2 linked regions of the Astyanax mexicanus genome follow. The protein of the gene in region 2 interacts with the protein of the main gene of each other region in a pairwise test. Links are inferred from orthologs where the notes say so. Each region holds a gene or a part of one and is shown on either strand. Other genes may lie near its edges.

Region 1 (7,794 bases), on a different chromosome or scaffold from region 2:
TGCGTCCTTTAATAGAGTGTTACAGTGTATGTTTACGTTATAAAATTGATTTATATTATATAGGCCATACAAGGTCCAAGAACTGTTTTTAATTCACTTGATATGAGAAAAGCATTTTTCTATTGTAATACTTCTCAGTTTTATTAATATTTATTGAAAGTTTGAATTACGTTTCGTATTTCTAGTTTCTTTTCTTTTTTTGTCTTACTACCGATAAAACTAATGTGGCATCGATTTTCGTTTGTTTGTTTTTGTGAGTCCAGATCAGAGTGTGAAAAAAGAGTATTTTGTCTTTTCCCGAAATTAAGATTCTGTGTGGGGTTGATGCTATGGTTGTTATTCTTATTGTGGGAAATCATTTAAATGGATATTTAAGAAAAATAACAATTTAATTTATCAAACGCATGCGAATAAATAAAAAAAACTGCTGGGTGAAATAACTGATTAGGTAAACAGGACATGCTGTTGAACCTCATGTTATCAGTATGGGATGGGTTCCGATATATTTCCGATATATTTTTATATCTCTATTTCTTTCATGCTCATGTAGTTGTTGATCCCGCCAATAAATGAAAGTTAATCAACGGCTCTAAAGACTTCCAAAGGTTACAGGCTTCAGTTCAGCCCTGTCTGATCTAATTAAAAACTAACGTTTATAGAATACCTTTAGAGCTAGAGCGATCTTTGAAAAAGGACAGATGTTTTTGAAGACTGAGACATAATAAAATGAAAACAATGAACACATAAAATTAATACAATAAAATAAAAACAACTCATGAAATCACTTCCCGTATTTTTCTTTTGTTTTTTTTTTATGTATGTTAAAAAATAAGTACAAAATAATTTCAAATAAAAACTTTGAATTTGTTTAAGTGGTAGCGCCGTCTTTAATTAAAAGACTCAATTCAATACTGAATTAAATACAAAATAAATAAAAAAAACTAGTTAAATAAATCAGATAACATATTTTCCTTTTTCATTAATACGTATTAAAATCGCTTTGACTAAATAAAAATAACTATTCGGTTTTACGCAAGATGTTGAACCGCGTTCGGAAAGGCGATTACAATTGTAAACGGCAGTAAACACGATAAATATTATTCGTATATTTGTATCTGGACTTACCGCAGTGTTAGGTTGATGTGTGTAACCTGAAGGAGAGTCGAGTGTTTGGTTTGGAGAGAAAGAGCAGAGAACCTGGATTATGGCTTTCACCAATGAATAACCAGAACCTCCATTCACACTAATCACACGCCACTGTGTATCTTTCAGTTGATGATTTATAGAATAAAATTAATAATAACTCAACTCCACGTGCTTTAGTTTGGGTTTTTAAACTGCATTTGTTTATGCTGGGTTAGAAGTAAAAAAAAGAAGTGAAAGTGGGTATTATTATGAAATTAAACATAAGTATACTTTAGCTTAAGTTACACTGATGGAATGTACTGGTGCTATTATTATTATTATTATTATTATTATTATTATTATTATTATTATTATTATTATTATTATTATTACTATCTTTTAGCAAGTAACTATCTAACAATATTATTTTGTATAGTTTTTGGAAGAACACATATTATTTAAATGTAGTCTCCATTGCGCTGCCATAGTTAATGATAAATGGAGCTTCTTCACTTCATATTTCTTCAAGCTAAAGAAATAATAACCCGAGTAGATAATTAGTAACCAGAAAGCGAAAAGATGAAATCGTGGCGCGGGGTTTTAAATTTGTAAACACCACCTGGCAACTTCAGCTCTGTCAGAAATATAAAACATCTAATTTTCGTCTTTAGCTTTCATTTTAGACACGAATTTTTCTTTTGTCAGCTTTTTGTATTTACCGCGGCGCGTTTTTTTTTTCTTATCTCTTAACATTAATCCAGAACCAGCTGAACAGTTTTTCCTAAAGTTCACATTTAGAGGAGAAAAATAATTGCTATTGAGAAGACACGATAATTAACAAATGGATGACAGGACCTTACGGTAACAGTGATAAGGTTAATGGTGATTTGCCCTTCCATTTAGAACACGTTTCACACAGTTAATTAAGTTATATTAGAATGTCTTTGTTAAATCTTTTATGTCCAATAAACTTTTTGTTGCAAAACGTATTTGTACAGTTGGCTTTTTTCAGGTGTAAATGTTTAGTATTGATATACTTAGATTATTAAATAGAAAATTGACGTTTCTTTCACTAAACGAATTATTCTGACAAAACCAGCAATTAAATTAAAAATGTAGGGGACAGGCAGCTCAGTAGTTTTAGGTTTGCTATTGGCCTAACTTTTTCTATATTCTTTGCTATGTTATTTTTCCATTACATCATTCATTTAAATTTAACTTATTTACTCTTTTTATTTAGAGACACAAATATAATTTTAAAATAAAATCGTAAATCATACGCTGTGGATTTGTATGATTTCGGACAGTAAATATTAAATATTAATTTTGACCAATTTTTCCAGTCACTGTAAATCACTTACGCTAGCATCCGCTCCACTTCTGCCCGCTGCTCGGCCGCCTCCTCCGTGTTGAGCGCCTGAAGCTCCTTCAGGATGGGCGGCGTGTCATAATCGTCCCCGTCCTCCGAGCCCTCGTCCCCGGAGAGTTTCCCCCTGCCGTGCCCGTTAGAGAGCGTGTGAAACACCGGCTTGTGCGAGTCCCCGTCGCCGCTCATCGGAGACGTCTGAACGCTCCCCTCCAGCTTCACCCCCAGAGTGGCCGGCCGGGGGTCCATGTCGTCCAGCGCCTGGACCAGAACCTCCCGGGTCACTCCGGAGTCCAACAGGGCGCTGAGGAGCTCCTGCTGCAGAGAGGTCAGCTTAGACACCATCCTCCCCAACATCCAAGAAAAGAGTGAATAAAAAAATAAAGCTAAGAAAAATAAGAGAAAAAAGAAAGAAGGCGGAGGGCGAGAACCTCCAGGGCTGAAGCGATAGCCCCAGCGCGCACACCTGCTTCTTCCAAAAAGCCTCGCTCCTCTAACTTTGCCATGATGTCGTCTAAAAACAGCGGACAGCTTTTCGTCTTTTTCTCCCCGCCCGTTTTCCGGCGAGGCCACGCCCCCCTCGGTCAGTGCTTTTACGCGCTTGGCCAATGCGTAAAACTACATCCACCCTCAACCCGAGACCGCTCGCGAGGACTCAATCTCAACAACGCTGAAGGCGCGAGACTAGCAGCCAATCCCTCCGAAGGGGGCGTGGTCTTGACGGAATACAGGTGTGTAATGAACTGGAGGCCGATGTTAATGAGTGGGCTGGCCGGTATTCGGAGTCTTTATGTAAATGAGCGGCTCAGCGTGTTTGCTCTGTAGCTGGAACGCTTTTATTGGTCTCCGTTATCAGCGACTTTCTGGTGAACTTTGGACTTTGTCAGATTCAGACTGTTTTGAAAGGGGGAGGGTAATAATAGCACCACCAACAATAATAATAATAATAATAACAATAATGATAAAAGAAGTAAAAAACTAAACAAATACTAGAACATCATAATTTAAAACTTCGCAATGTCGCCAAGAGCCTATACTAAAGGAGTATATTAACCAAAAATAATACTTTTATTACTACTACTACTAATACTACTAGTAGTAGTAGTAATAATAATACAATAAATAATAATAGTATAATACACAATTGTATAAATAGATGAATGCCATTCATGACATATTTGAAATTATATAAAATACACAGAGTTTGTCAAAATGACAAAACCGTATCAAAAATATTACTCACAATATATATTTATAAAAATCATTTTTACCTTTATCCTGTTAAATGCCTGATTCAATCTGACTCCAATTAGATGTTAAACGCTGTCTATTAAATTTTACGAATTTACGAAGGACGAATGACCTTGACTAAATAAGTCTTTGACTAAGTCTATGACTTTGTATTATGCAATACAAATAACTGATTAGTTTGGGCATTTGATTTTAAAATAAATATGGAAAAAAAATAATAATAAAAGGAAGCGAATAATGGCGAACATTTACTTTTGTGAGCATCGCTTTTGCATACATTTACACGAACGTAACATTCGTTGAACCTGAGCCTGCTTGAAATAATACACGTTTCATCTATCCGATATGTTATACAGAAAATAAGAAGCAATCGTACAAAAAGTTTTTATGTATTCTTTCATTCGTTTGTTCATTAAGCTTGTTTTCAGTACTGGTTTAATTATCTTATTTATTTTTTTGAAGTCAACGAAATGTCAAAATCTGACTTACACAAGCTAAATTAATATTTTTATCAAGCTTGTCTTGCAAAAAGAAACCTTACCAAAAATCTGAGCAACAATAAGTTTAAAGTTAAATCAGCAAAAAATATTAGAAAAACATTAGGTGATACTTAGTACTTAAGTTTTTGTTATTTTGTTATGTTGCGCGTGCTAAAAAAAATCGACTCTTGATTAATAGTTGTACGGTCGACAATCTGACCACATTGTTTTGGTGGAGTAGAAACCCAAACAGGACACTTATCATAAATGTGTACGATTAGCTTTAATCAAATTCTTCAAATAAGATTTGCGGTATTTTATTTACTAATCTTTAGCATTCCAGAGGCGCAGTGATCACGTAGAATAAAAACAAACAAATTGTGAACACTTGTTAGATTACAGGTCTGATAGGACAGACACCAAAAAATATTTTATTATCAGACATAGGCTGCTAATCAAAGGCGCCAATTAATTTAATCATAAACCTGCGCATAAATCTGCGCCGTGACGCAACGGGACATGTTTTCATTATAATGGTGAAATGTATAATGGGCCAAGTTTTTTTATGGGCGACAGGACTGCACTCCACTTCTTTAAGAGCTGCCTGTGTGTCAACCATTAACAACAAATAAAAACAAGCAGCAAAAACCCATTTCTTCAGCGCGCTTGTTGTGAAAGCAATCTGTGAAGCAGAGCGTGAGTGAAGAACACTGATCTCAGGTCACTCTCACATTCACCTCAGAGGAGGATGGCTGGGTGAAAAAGAGGATCACGTGTGGATCAGGAGCTTCATTAACACCTTGCTTCCCAATCACCTGTAGGGATGCTTTAACCACCAACATGATAGACATATGAATATTGATTATGCATTTGTTGCTAGAAGTTTTGGAATGACAATTATCAGTAGACGTGATTTATTTGATTGTGCTATTGGAGATATGTAGGCATTGGAGTACTCTCAGAATCTTTCTTTCTTTATTTATTTATTTATTTATTAAGGATTTTTTTCTGGGTAATAATGCCAAAGGATTATCCAATAAAATGTAGAATGATTGTCAATTTGTCACTTTAACAGTCCAGTATTATTTGTAGTTATCATTTAACACCTAGTTTGGCTAACTAAGCTTTAGTTTCATTTAGTTAAACCTGAAACATACTAAACAAAAAAAACTTTTAAAATAATAACTGTATAAAACTATACAACTATATACAAAAAGTGATTTGCAAATGCATTCACACAGCTTGACTAGTCCATGTAAAGAAGAATTGCCAATAGAATATGACTCTGTGTAATAGATAATAATGAACCTATTGGCCTAATGCCTAATAGCTAATGCAATGCCAGGTAGAGGCACTGAGCTGTAGAGAAGTGGAATTGGGTTCTCTGTAATGATGGAGCTCCATTCAATACTTTTGTGACTGAAGTTCTGGGAAGAAAGTAAGGTATTAATCATTCGACATCCTGATCTCACTAATGCTATTAATAAGTCATAATTAATTCCTTAAGAAAACATTCTCTGGATAGTAGTAGTAGTAAAGACAGTTAGTCCAGAGGTTCTTTTGAAATCTTCTAAAGATTAATTTTATGGGGAAGATACAGCAAAACGTTTCATACACAAAAGTATTTTTTCTATTTTGCATTTCATTGTTTTTCACAGTTGAATCAAAGTTGAATTGTGCTTCAATTTTTGTAAGATGAATCAACATTAATATTGCAATGTTGTTTCAACATTTAATAAACTATATTAAAACTACAGCTGTCAGTACATGCAGGTGTACCTGTATCATTTAGATTGAAGATGCGCAACATGTCTTTTAGGCTGCTCTAAATAGGTCCAGATTGTGGCTAACCTGTATTTTTTTGTGTTTATAGATAACAGTAAGTCATGTTCTAAATTGCATCAATTTGTATTTGACTATTTGTATTTTGCTTAGAGATTGAAGTTTGAAAGCATTTAACAGATGGAGTGAGTAAGAAATATTGTTAAACCCTAGTTACTGTAAATACCAGTATATATGGCAAAGAATTAGCATATCTATCAATAACATTTTTGTCTTTTAAGAAAAAACATATATTAATACAGCAAAATATTAGTGTAATCCAGCACTAGGCCTATTTCTTGTCCACAGTGTACAGTGTTGCTGTGCATGAACTGCTTTTGACTACTTAAGAAAAATAAATAAATGGGTTAATCACGGTTCTGCTTTATTTCAGCTTTAGATAGATGGTTAAAGCCTGAAGAAATATCACCAGGCAATATTTCTTCGACAAACAAGTGCCTCTTAATGACTTGTCTGATTAAATTAATGGTTACATGAAATAGAAATAGAACAAAATAAAAAAACTGTAGCAATAGTTGTGATTTGTAACTTTTGAGATCAGTTTAAACAATTTTAATAATATATAAAACTCTCAAGGAAGACAACTACAAGACAAAGACAACATTCTAATTTTTGCACATGATACGGAAAAAAACGATTAGTACAGTATCTTTAAAGCTAGGCCCCTATTGAGAGTAGAATTGGGTGTGTATCAGAGGTCGTAACGGTGCAAATAGCTGTTTGACTCAAGGTCTGCCAAGAACGGCAAGGAGAACTGCCAAGCCTTCAGCCAGATGGGGTTTTCCTTTAAACTCGAACCAAACACTAACTCATCCCCCCACCCCAATATCAGCCTAAAACAATAATACAATAAAAAATATGTGTGTTTGAGAGATACACTGATAAAGACATAGCACATCCTCTCAACCGGCACTGATAACCCAGTCTGAAAATTCCTCATTGTCACCATCAGACAAAACAAAGACGGGTGAGACTGGCTGCTACAGTAGCCCAAAGAAAACCAAAAGATAAGATTTCCTCAACTGATACAAAACAGTGAAGACCAAGAACCAAATCATTGAGACTAAAATATCTATTATACCACAGTTAGTTCTGACCCTGCAATGTGATTGGCTGAGAGGAGTTTAATATGAGACACATAAAACACTATAATAAGACATTATTAGCCGGCCTGTGGCCTCATGCCTACGACCGCAGCAAAGCAGTGCCAATATTACACGTTATAGCACTCCCTCTCAAGTATTATTGCTCAAGTATCAGATGTTTATTAATCACAGCTGAGACATGTATTGAGAAATATGCTAAGACACTTCTTCAGGTTGCCAGTTATTAAGATTACAAATACAATTCACTGTGTTTCAGAGGTCATGGCATTTACTATTATCTTTCACCTCTACAAGCCAACCCAGCTACAACACTGCTGACTGAGACATAATTTATAGACTGACTGTAACAGAAATTAAAGCTATAGACTCAGGGACTGTGAAGATCTATGGCTCGAGAGTTGTTCTTAATGAATAGCTATGAGTTTTAGTAGAGGGTTCCATAAAGAGTTTAATACTTTTCACTACTGCAGTTCTACTAGTATTTAAACAGCAATTTTACTGTTTGTCTGCAGCAAAAGTGTTTTATTGATACATAAAATATAATCTAAACATCTAAATACATAGTATAAATTGTAAAAAAGCTTGTTTATGTAAAAGTAAGTCTAACAAATGAGAATGTGTGTAA
Region 2 (7,762 bases):
AATGACTTAAAATAATATTTTAGTAAGGTTTCTGTGTGATAGCAAAAACATAAAACATACATTATTAAAAATTTTGATTAATCAAAAATCTTCAAAAAAATCAGAAGAATGAAAAAATATATAATTTAGTCAAGTACACCTGGAACCTCTCCATAGGTTTACAAAATCGCCAAACAATTTAAAAGTTTCAGATTCTGTCAAATGAGATACAAGGTTTTTGTGTGACATCAAGAACTTATTTATTATACATATAGTGCATGAAAAAAAATAATTTACTTTCTGAATAAATAGTAATTTCACAGGTTCACTCACCTGGTTAAAGTCTTTAAAAATGAACTCTTTATAAATGGCGTCTCTACCCACCACTTCCACCCACTGGGCACTGCGCATCATGGGCAGGAGCTGCTCCCTCTCTTCCATTGTCAGAGTCTGAATTTTACCAGCCTGAGGAGACACAGCAGTACAGCAGACACACAATTAAAGCTCTTCTTTATTCAGTAACTTTCTCTGAATATCTGAGCTAAATTTGCAGTAATTGACCAAACAGTTCAGAAAAAATAATTTTATGCAAGAAAAAAGTGTATTCATTTTAGCATATTAAAAAAAACTACAATTAATACAAATGTGCATGAAATTAATATATATTATGATGATTATGTGCATTACTTTACATGTTCTACACATACAGTTCAACAGATACAACTCCAATAGCAATGCAAGACACTAACAAACACAGTGTAGGGGGCTGCTTCAGATATAAGGGCTGCGATTGGCTGTCGTGAACCCCATCTGGAAGCAATGATGACTTGCATTTTCAGTTTTATAAGAGAGACTGGACCACGTTTCTGTGTGGGTAACACTGAGCCATTTAAACCTCCTCTTCCAACCAGCCAATAAGAATCTCAGAAGATCACATGAGTTCCATTCACACTTAATCCTACATCCAAATGCCTTCAGAGGACATAGGAGTTTTTTGGATTTTTAATAAAAACAAATGGGAATATTCCATCATTTTTATTATGCCAAAGTAGTATTGCACATGATAAGTATATACAAACAACACTCTATACTTTACGTACCTCAATATTTTAATGAAGTTATCAGTAAGTTTTTTACCTTGTATGTTGTCACAGTGTTAGAGGAAGAGCTCCAGCTTCTGCTGGTTTTAGGTGATCTAAGCTGGTATGTTATGATCATGTTGGTTGAAACATTGGTTATCGATTAGGTTTTGGTCATGCTGGGAATTATGATCGACCAACGTGGTCTTGCTTGTTATGCTGGTTGACCAGCATGGTCAACCAGCGTGATTAAACTTGATCTTACTGGTTATCTAGCTTGTTCAGGTTGCATATGCTTGCAGTCTGGCTCAGCCATCAATCTCAAATTAACATTTTCTGACTTCACATGTGTCAGAGGAAGCATGTGCTAGTCTTCAGTGTGTTGTGGTGTCACTAGTAAGTGATAAATACAGCTGACTAAAAAATAGGAGAACATTTGAAATAAAATCTATAAAAAAAAACTTAACTTAAATGATCATAACATACAATTGAAAGAAAAATGTAGTCTACAACTATGCTTTATGCCTGTCTGGGAAACTGACCCCAAAGATTATCCTTTTTTTTAATAAACTACTTTTTGTTTAATGATATAAGATGAGCAGTGGGGCAGCTCAGTAGAAACCTAGATGATAAATGTAAAATACATATACAATTAATATATACAGCTCTGAAAAAAAAATAGAGACCGCTCAAAAATGATGGGTTACTTTAATTTTACTAAATTAAAAACATCTGGAATATAATCAAGAGGAAGATGGATGAACACAAGCCATCAAACCAAGCTGAACTGCTTCATTTCTTGCAGCAGAAGTGGCATAAAGTTATCCAAAAGCAGTGTGTAAGACTGGTGTAGGGAGAACATGCCAAGATGCATGAAAACTGTGATTAAAAACCAGAGTTATTCCACCAAATATTGATTTCTAAACTCTTAAAACTTTATGAATATGAACTTGTTTTCTTTGCATTATTTGAGGTCTTATTAAAGCTCTGCATCATTTTTATTATTTTAGCCATTTCTTATTTTCTGCAAATAACTGCTCTAAATGACAATATTTTCATGGAACAAAATGTTGTCTGTAGTTTACAGAATAAAACAATGTTCATTTTACTCAAACTATAGACTGTCTCTGACTCAAACATATACATATAAATCAAAGAAACTGAAGTGGTCTCTTATTTTTTTTCCAGAGCTGTACACACGTATTATAATATAAAGCATTTTCCCCATGTAGCTACAGCAACAATGAATTATATTATATACCCTATAAACAACATATTGTTTTTTTCTATGTGTACCCTCAGAGTATTGCGTCACACATTAAACAGATGTCTCAGTGAAGCGACCAGACTGATAACAGACTGATAAGACTGACTGACATCAACAGGTCTCCTAGCAACAGGTTAATCTGCCCCCCGCCCACTCAAGCATAAAGCTTTACCACCCGGCACAAAAGACAACAGCACTAGGGACAGCGCGAGCAGAGGAGCCAATAAACAAGGTTTAAATGAAGGTTTCTACATAGCAATTAAATTACTTTTAGTTACTACTAGTTTATTCTTTTTTCTTTACATAAAAATGTAGCCAAATGTAGAAACCAGTAACGTATAAAAGAAAAACACTGACTGACACTGTTAGTCAGTGAAGCATTGTCCAGTTTACAATGGGAAGCTATCTAAATATTCTATTATATTAAAAAAACTCTTGTCTAATGTGAAATACAGACAGCAAGTCTAACTACAGCTGCACACAGCAAAGTAAAAACAGCAACAATCTGCTGCAATCTAGAAAACAGCACATTAAGCACACCCTGCTTATCATATTATCTGTAATCTAAACTAATAAAATCACAGAGCCTGAGCTCTACAGTCCTACCATATCGTGGTGCTGTGCTCTTGCCTCTCTCCTCCTCTGATACTGAATCAAAGTGGCAGAGTCAGCAGCTGGAATTCATCCTAAGGCCCAAAGTACATTAGCTGCCCCAGAAGAAGCCTGAGCAAAATACTACAGCTAAACAAACACAGGTGCTAGTGGTGGTTTTTCATTTTAACCCCCTTTTTTAAAATAGAATTTCCAAAATAGTGTATAAAGAGACTTGTTTAAAAGTAAAGAAATGATACATTAAAATAAATTTTGCAATAGTAATGACGTAAATGTAATTTTTTACTTTGCTACTTAACACATAAGAGCCCAGACCCATTTCTGAATACTGATGCCAAATTGAATCTGATAAATGCAGTGAGCGTCTATTTCATGTTTTTTTCTTATTGTGGGAACATGACTGTAAATATTTTATTGTATTTTTTAAAATAATTTTACTTCTAATTGTTTTCCCATTTTCTCCCCAATTTACACGGCCAATAACCCAATCCACTCATTAGGACCCCTATCTCTAGTGATGCCCCAACACCAGGAGGATGAAGACTAGCACATGCCTCCTCTGATACATGTGAATTCAGCCACCACCTCTTTTCGTACTGCTGCTGATGCAGCGTTGCCGAGTAGCATTACAGAATGCTTGGAGGAAAGCACGGCGTCTCAGTTTCCGATAAATCAGCTCACAGACGCCTTGTGCTGATCGACATCATCCTTTGGAGTGATGTGGGGAGAGAGCACCATCTATCCACCCAGAGAGAGAGCAGGGCCAATTGTGCTCTCTCAGGGCTCCAGTAGGCAATGGCAAGCTACATGATGAGGATTCAAACTGTCGATCTCCCGATCGTAGTGACAGCGCTTAGCCCGATGGACCACTCAGAGCCGACTGTAAATTTTTAAAGGTAAAAATATTGATGTAACATAAATGACACAACAACAGTTTCATAACTTGTAAACAAACATTTTATTAGGTTGTTTTAGTAATCGTATCAGTACTAATTATATGGAAGGTAAAATATTTCATTAAAGTTTTTGAATTGTTAATCTGGTTGGAACCAAGTAAAACCAAAAAAAAGTAGTACACTTTTAAAAGTAGCTACGTTTATTTCAAGCACCAAACAGCACTCCTACATTCTGTAAATAAGGTCAGAGGAACAAACACACATTTACACACTGTCCTGTAGTGATGCTCTCAGGATGTTCTGTATATGTCACTAAGGAGCTTCATGAGTTAAGATATAAAAAATGTGCTGTGACAAACTTAACACATCTTTTTTTCCACATGGCCTCTTTTGGGTAAAGTTATTTTTTACATATACATGTATAAGTGTTTCCAACTATGGTGACTTTTTTAACTCCATTACAAATATCTTACATTTTATTCCACTACATAATAAGACATCTGTCTTTTTTTTTGTCTGTGTGAATTAAGAAAATATAAGATAAGAAAAACATAAGAAAATACAAGAAAAAAAATTATACTTAACTAAATACTGTAACTTATCACAACACAACACAAAAGACACTAAACCAAACACACCACTAAGGGTGCAGCATACACTTTGTTTTGAACTTGTTTTGACCTTTTTATCTTCAAAAAAGACATATTTCATAGCGACTTGTTTCTATCTAATTGTTTGCCTTTAGTGTTTTGATAAATATACTTTTATACTGATATATGCATATCAGACAGAAATACTCATATAGTTTATCTAATATAAGTTGACTGGTTGCATGGTTTGGGTACTTTGTCTGCCACTGCACCAGTAAATCAATGTATAGAGCTTATGTTACATTAGACTGTGCCTGCACATTCCCTGCGTGGGAATGGTAGTAAAGCTCCAAAGCTGATCCCACGGTTTTCATGCTTGACTGATTGCTAGGCTTAGTGAAGCAGAGGCAAATTAACACCCTGTGAATTTAAGGTAATCATCTCAAGAGTAGGCCTACCCTTTTAAAGCAATTCATTATCCTACAGGAGTAGTGATTAAGTAGAAAAGAGTGAATACGGTAGAAAGGTAACCCCTCCTGTCCTTTCTCTGGGATTTTACTTGAGTATGCTCACTTAGAGGAACAGGTTTCATCAGGATATGTTCATGTTCAGGTGTGCATGTTTTAGTGTGTATGTCTGTATGCCCTTATAAGGATTCCTTCTGAGTCAATGCCCCTGATTCAATGGCACTTAAATGCAGTCATTTAAGTGGAAGTTGTTTCCGGTTGAGAGTATGCTATACGCAATAGTAAACTAAAACAACAATACATCAAATATATTCAGATATTTTTTTTACATATATTACACAATGTAAAAAAAGTACAATGTAATGTGTAGGCTGGATGTGTTGTGTTTTAATGTTTAACTTTCTGTTGTATCTGAAGTTAACATAATTCATTAAGTTAAAATTTCACAGGCCCTCAGTTACACTGAATTATTTAAACCAGCATCAATTAAATTTGTTCTTTTTTAAAAAAGCATACAACTAATAAAACATTTAATAAAATTGTTTTTTACTTTGAAAGAAAGTCTGTCAATGCAATTACACTATAAGGTTTGCTTTTAAATATGAAATACCGTAAATCAACTTTAACTGCTGAATATAAAAAAAAAAACAATATCTGCCTTGGCACATACGCTGTAGCTCGATGTGCACCTCTCCATAAATTAAACTACAGCACCGGCAGAATAGTAAAAGCAGATTTATGGATGTTTGTATGTATGTTAAACATAGCTCATTCAACCACACGGCTCCTCTTCTTTAAAAGCTGGTGGATATGTAAGCTAACTAGCTAACAGGTTAACCTAGTTAAGTAACCTAGGGTTAACTGTGAGGTGTCCTCACAATGTGCTCCCAAATAGCTGTAAATAATGTTTAACAGTCTGATAAACTGTTGGGTTTCCATATATAGCTACATTACGATCAGTGTTCACAGCAGTAGCTACCTCAGACTGCATTTATTGGATGCAACCAAAAAACAATAAAAATGACCTGCCTAGATATTCTAACACAAATGGGGTAGAAGCAAATTCTTGAAAGTGGACATGGCAGAACAAGGTGGATGCGTCTCTTGATAAAAGTTTTCTGAGAGCTTAAAATATCTTGGGGTACCTTAATACATGCAAGCCATTGTATTAAAAAAATACTTTGCTATGACACACCTTTAACTATTAGATAGATAGGCTCTGGGGATAAAGAATCTTCATCTCCTCAGTCTTCTATTAACTTATTTATTATCTATTAAGTGGGATTACTGGAAATAATGGGTACAGAGGCCAAGAGACTACAGACTTAAAGGAGCACAGCAGAAAAGCTACAGCATGATGGAACAGTGAGGTTTGTACATGTTCAGACATCTTCACAGATTCAGCCTGAATTAGACTCTAATCATCCACTTTAGGTTGAATGCTTCATCTTTATGTTAAGTCCTTTCATGCATTAGTGAAACCATAGAATACTTGCCTCTGTAAACACCCAGCATGTCTATCTCTGCTCTTTGAACTCTGTTTATATTCATTTGTGCCATAAACGTCTGCAGCAGAGTAAGCTACTACTGCTACCGACTATGGAGATCTACAGCCTGAGACGCATTTTCTGGGTTCTTATCCTCGTAATAGGACCGAACGTGACAGCTCTGAATTCAGGTAGCATAAGATTTACTGCTAGTATCTGTGTTAATATTAGGTATCTCCAAATAAGTATTGTATATTTGTTTGTATTGCTTATTTTAGTGCTTATCTTATTATGTATGTATTATGTGTGAACCCTTGACAATGTCTATAATTTTCTTTTGGTTTAAGTAAAAAGCAAAAAAAATATTTAATTATATTTAACATTTAATTGTTCCAAATGAGGACACAATTTGAACTATACACTGGACTATTTTTTTCTAGATTGTGTTATGGAGGGTTTGGGAGCCATGTATAGCTTTTCTCCTCCAGATGTCAGTGTTGATCTCTTTAAGTTTTACTGGCTGATCTGTTAACTATCATTTATCAAAGTTTTTTGAAAAAAGGCAGTTTAATTGCCCTAATATTTTAATGTCGGTGAAGATTTGTTGTAGATATTGAAGATATTATAGATGACAGATGCGTTATGCCCAAGACTAATTACTCATTAAATACAGTAATTATTTATTAATATTTCCAATAAAAGATTTTGCTGCCTGTAATAGTTAACACAGTTAGGGTTCCGTTTTATGGACAGAGGTTAAGCCTAGATATGGACTATGTTCCTTTGATTGAAATTGTCCATTCCAAATGCTGTCCAAGACTAGACTTCCCTGTCCCCACTGCCCCAATGTCTGCCAAATTATCACTTAAGAATAAAGGTAATACAAAATGATATTTAAATGATGCCACAGAAGAACACATTTTGGTTCCCATAATGTGTTACGGGATGTAAATTTGAAGAATCTTGGCTTGATGTAATGGTTCTTTACTTGTCAATTTAATGGCTTTTCACACCCACACATCTCTAATACAAACCAAAATAACATGCCCACAAGAGCCCTGTATGGGAAGCCCAACTGGAAGTCCACAGGTTCCTGGTCATATTAAGGTCAATGATGGGGGCAAAATGGGTTTACCATAGACCCCATCTGGGTTGTAAACTGCAAATGGGGCCTAGATTTGACCCATGTAAGATTAAGGGGGGCTGTAACAATGCACCTTTAGGAAGCCCAACTGTGTTAATAAATGTACAAAACCACTCAGAGCCCACCTAGAACCCACATAGCTAACATTCTACCTACGTTAGCCCAACATGAGCATTTTGGTGGCTGGAAACATTGGTTCTTTAAAGAAAGTGGTTCTTTACAGCATCTTACTAAAATAGCA

The links. The genes of interacting proteins can lie anywhere in the genome.
Region 1: the proteins of pcbd1 (region 2) and hnf1ba interact in binary tests that used the Homo sapiens proteins (3 or more experiments, as listed by UniProt). The link is inferred for Astyanax mexicanus from reciprocal best matches to the Homo sapiens genes PCBD1 and HNF1B.

The regions. Positions count from the first base shown.
Region 1 is NC_064425.1:13,246,957-13,254,750, forward strand, and holds the start of hnf1ba (hepatocyte nuclear factor 1-beta-A), read right to left. Parts: upstream 3,008-7,794; 5' UTR 2,849-3,007; coding exon 2,487-2,848; intron 1,216-2,486; exon of another isoform or gene 1,126-1,215; intron 1-1,125. UniProt on the Homo sapiens protein: Transcription factor that binds to the inverted palindrome 5'-GTTAATNATTAAC-3'. Binds to the FPC element in the cAMP regulatory unit of the PLAU gene. Transcriptional activity is increased by coactivator PCBD1.
Region 2 is NC_064414.1:37,559,004-37,566,765, forward strand, and holds the start of pcbd1 (pterin-4-alpha-carbinolamine dehydratase), read right to left. Parts: upstream 3,006-7,762; 5' UTR 2,935-3,005; coding exon 2,932-2,934; intron 445-2,931; coding exon 313-444; intron 1-312. Other genes in the region: si:dkey-192p21.6 (heparan-alpha-glucosaminide N-acetyltransferase), read left to right, coding at 6,490-6,568. UniProt on the Homo sapiens protein: Involved in tetrahydrobiopterin biosynthesis. Seems to both prevent the formation of 7-pterins and accelerate the formation of quinonoid-BH2. Coactivator for HNF1A-dependent transcription.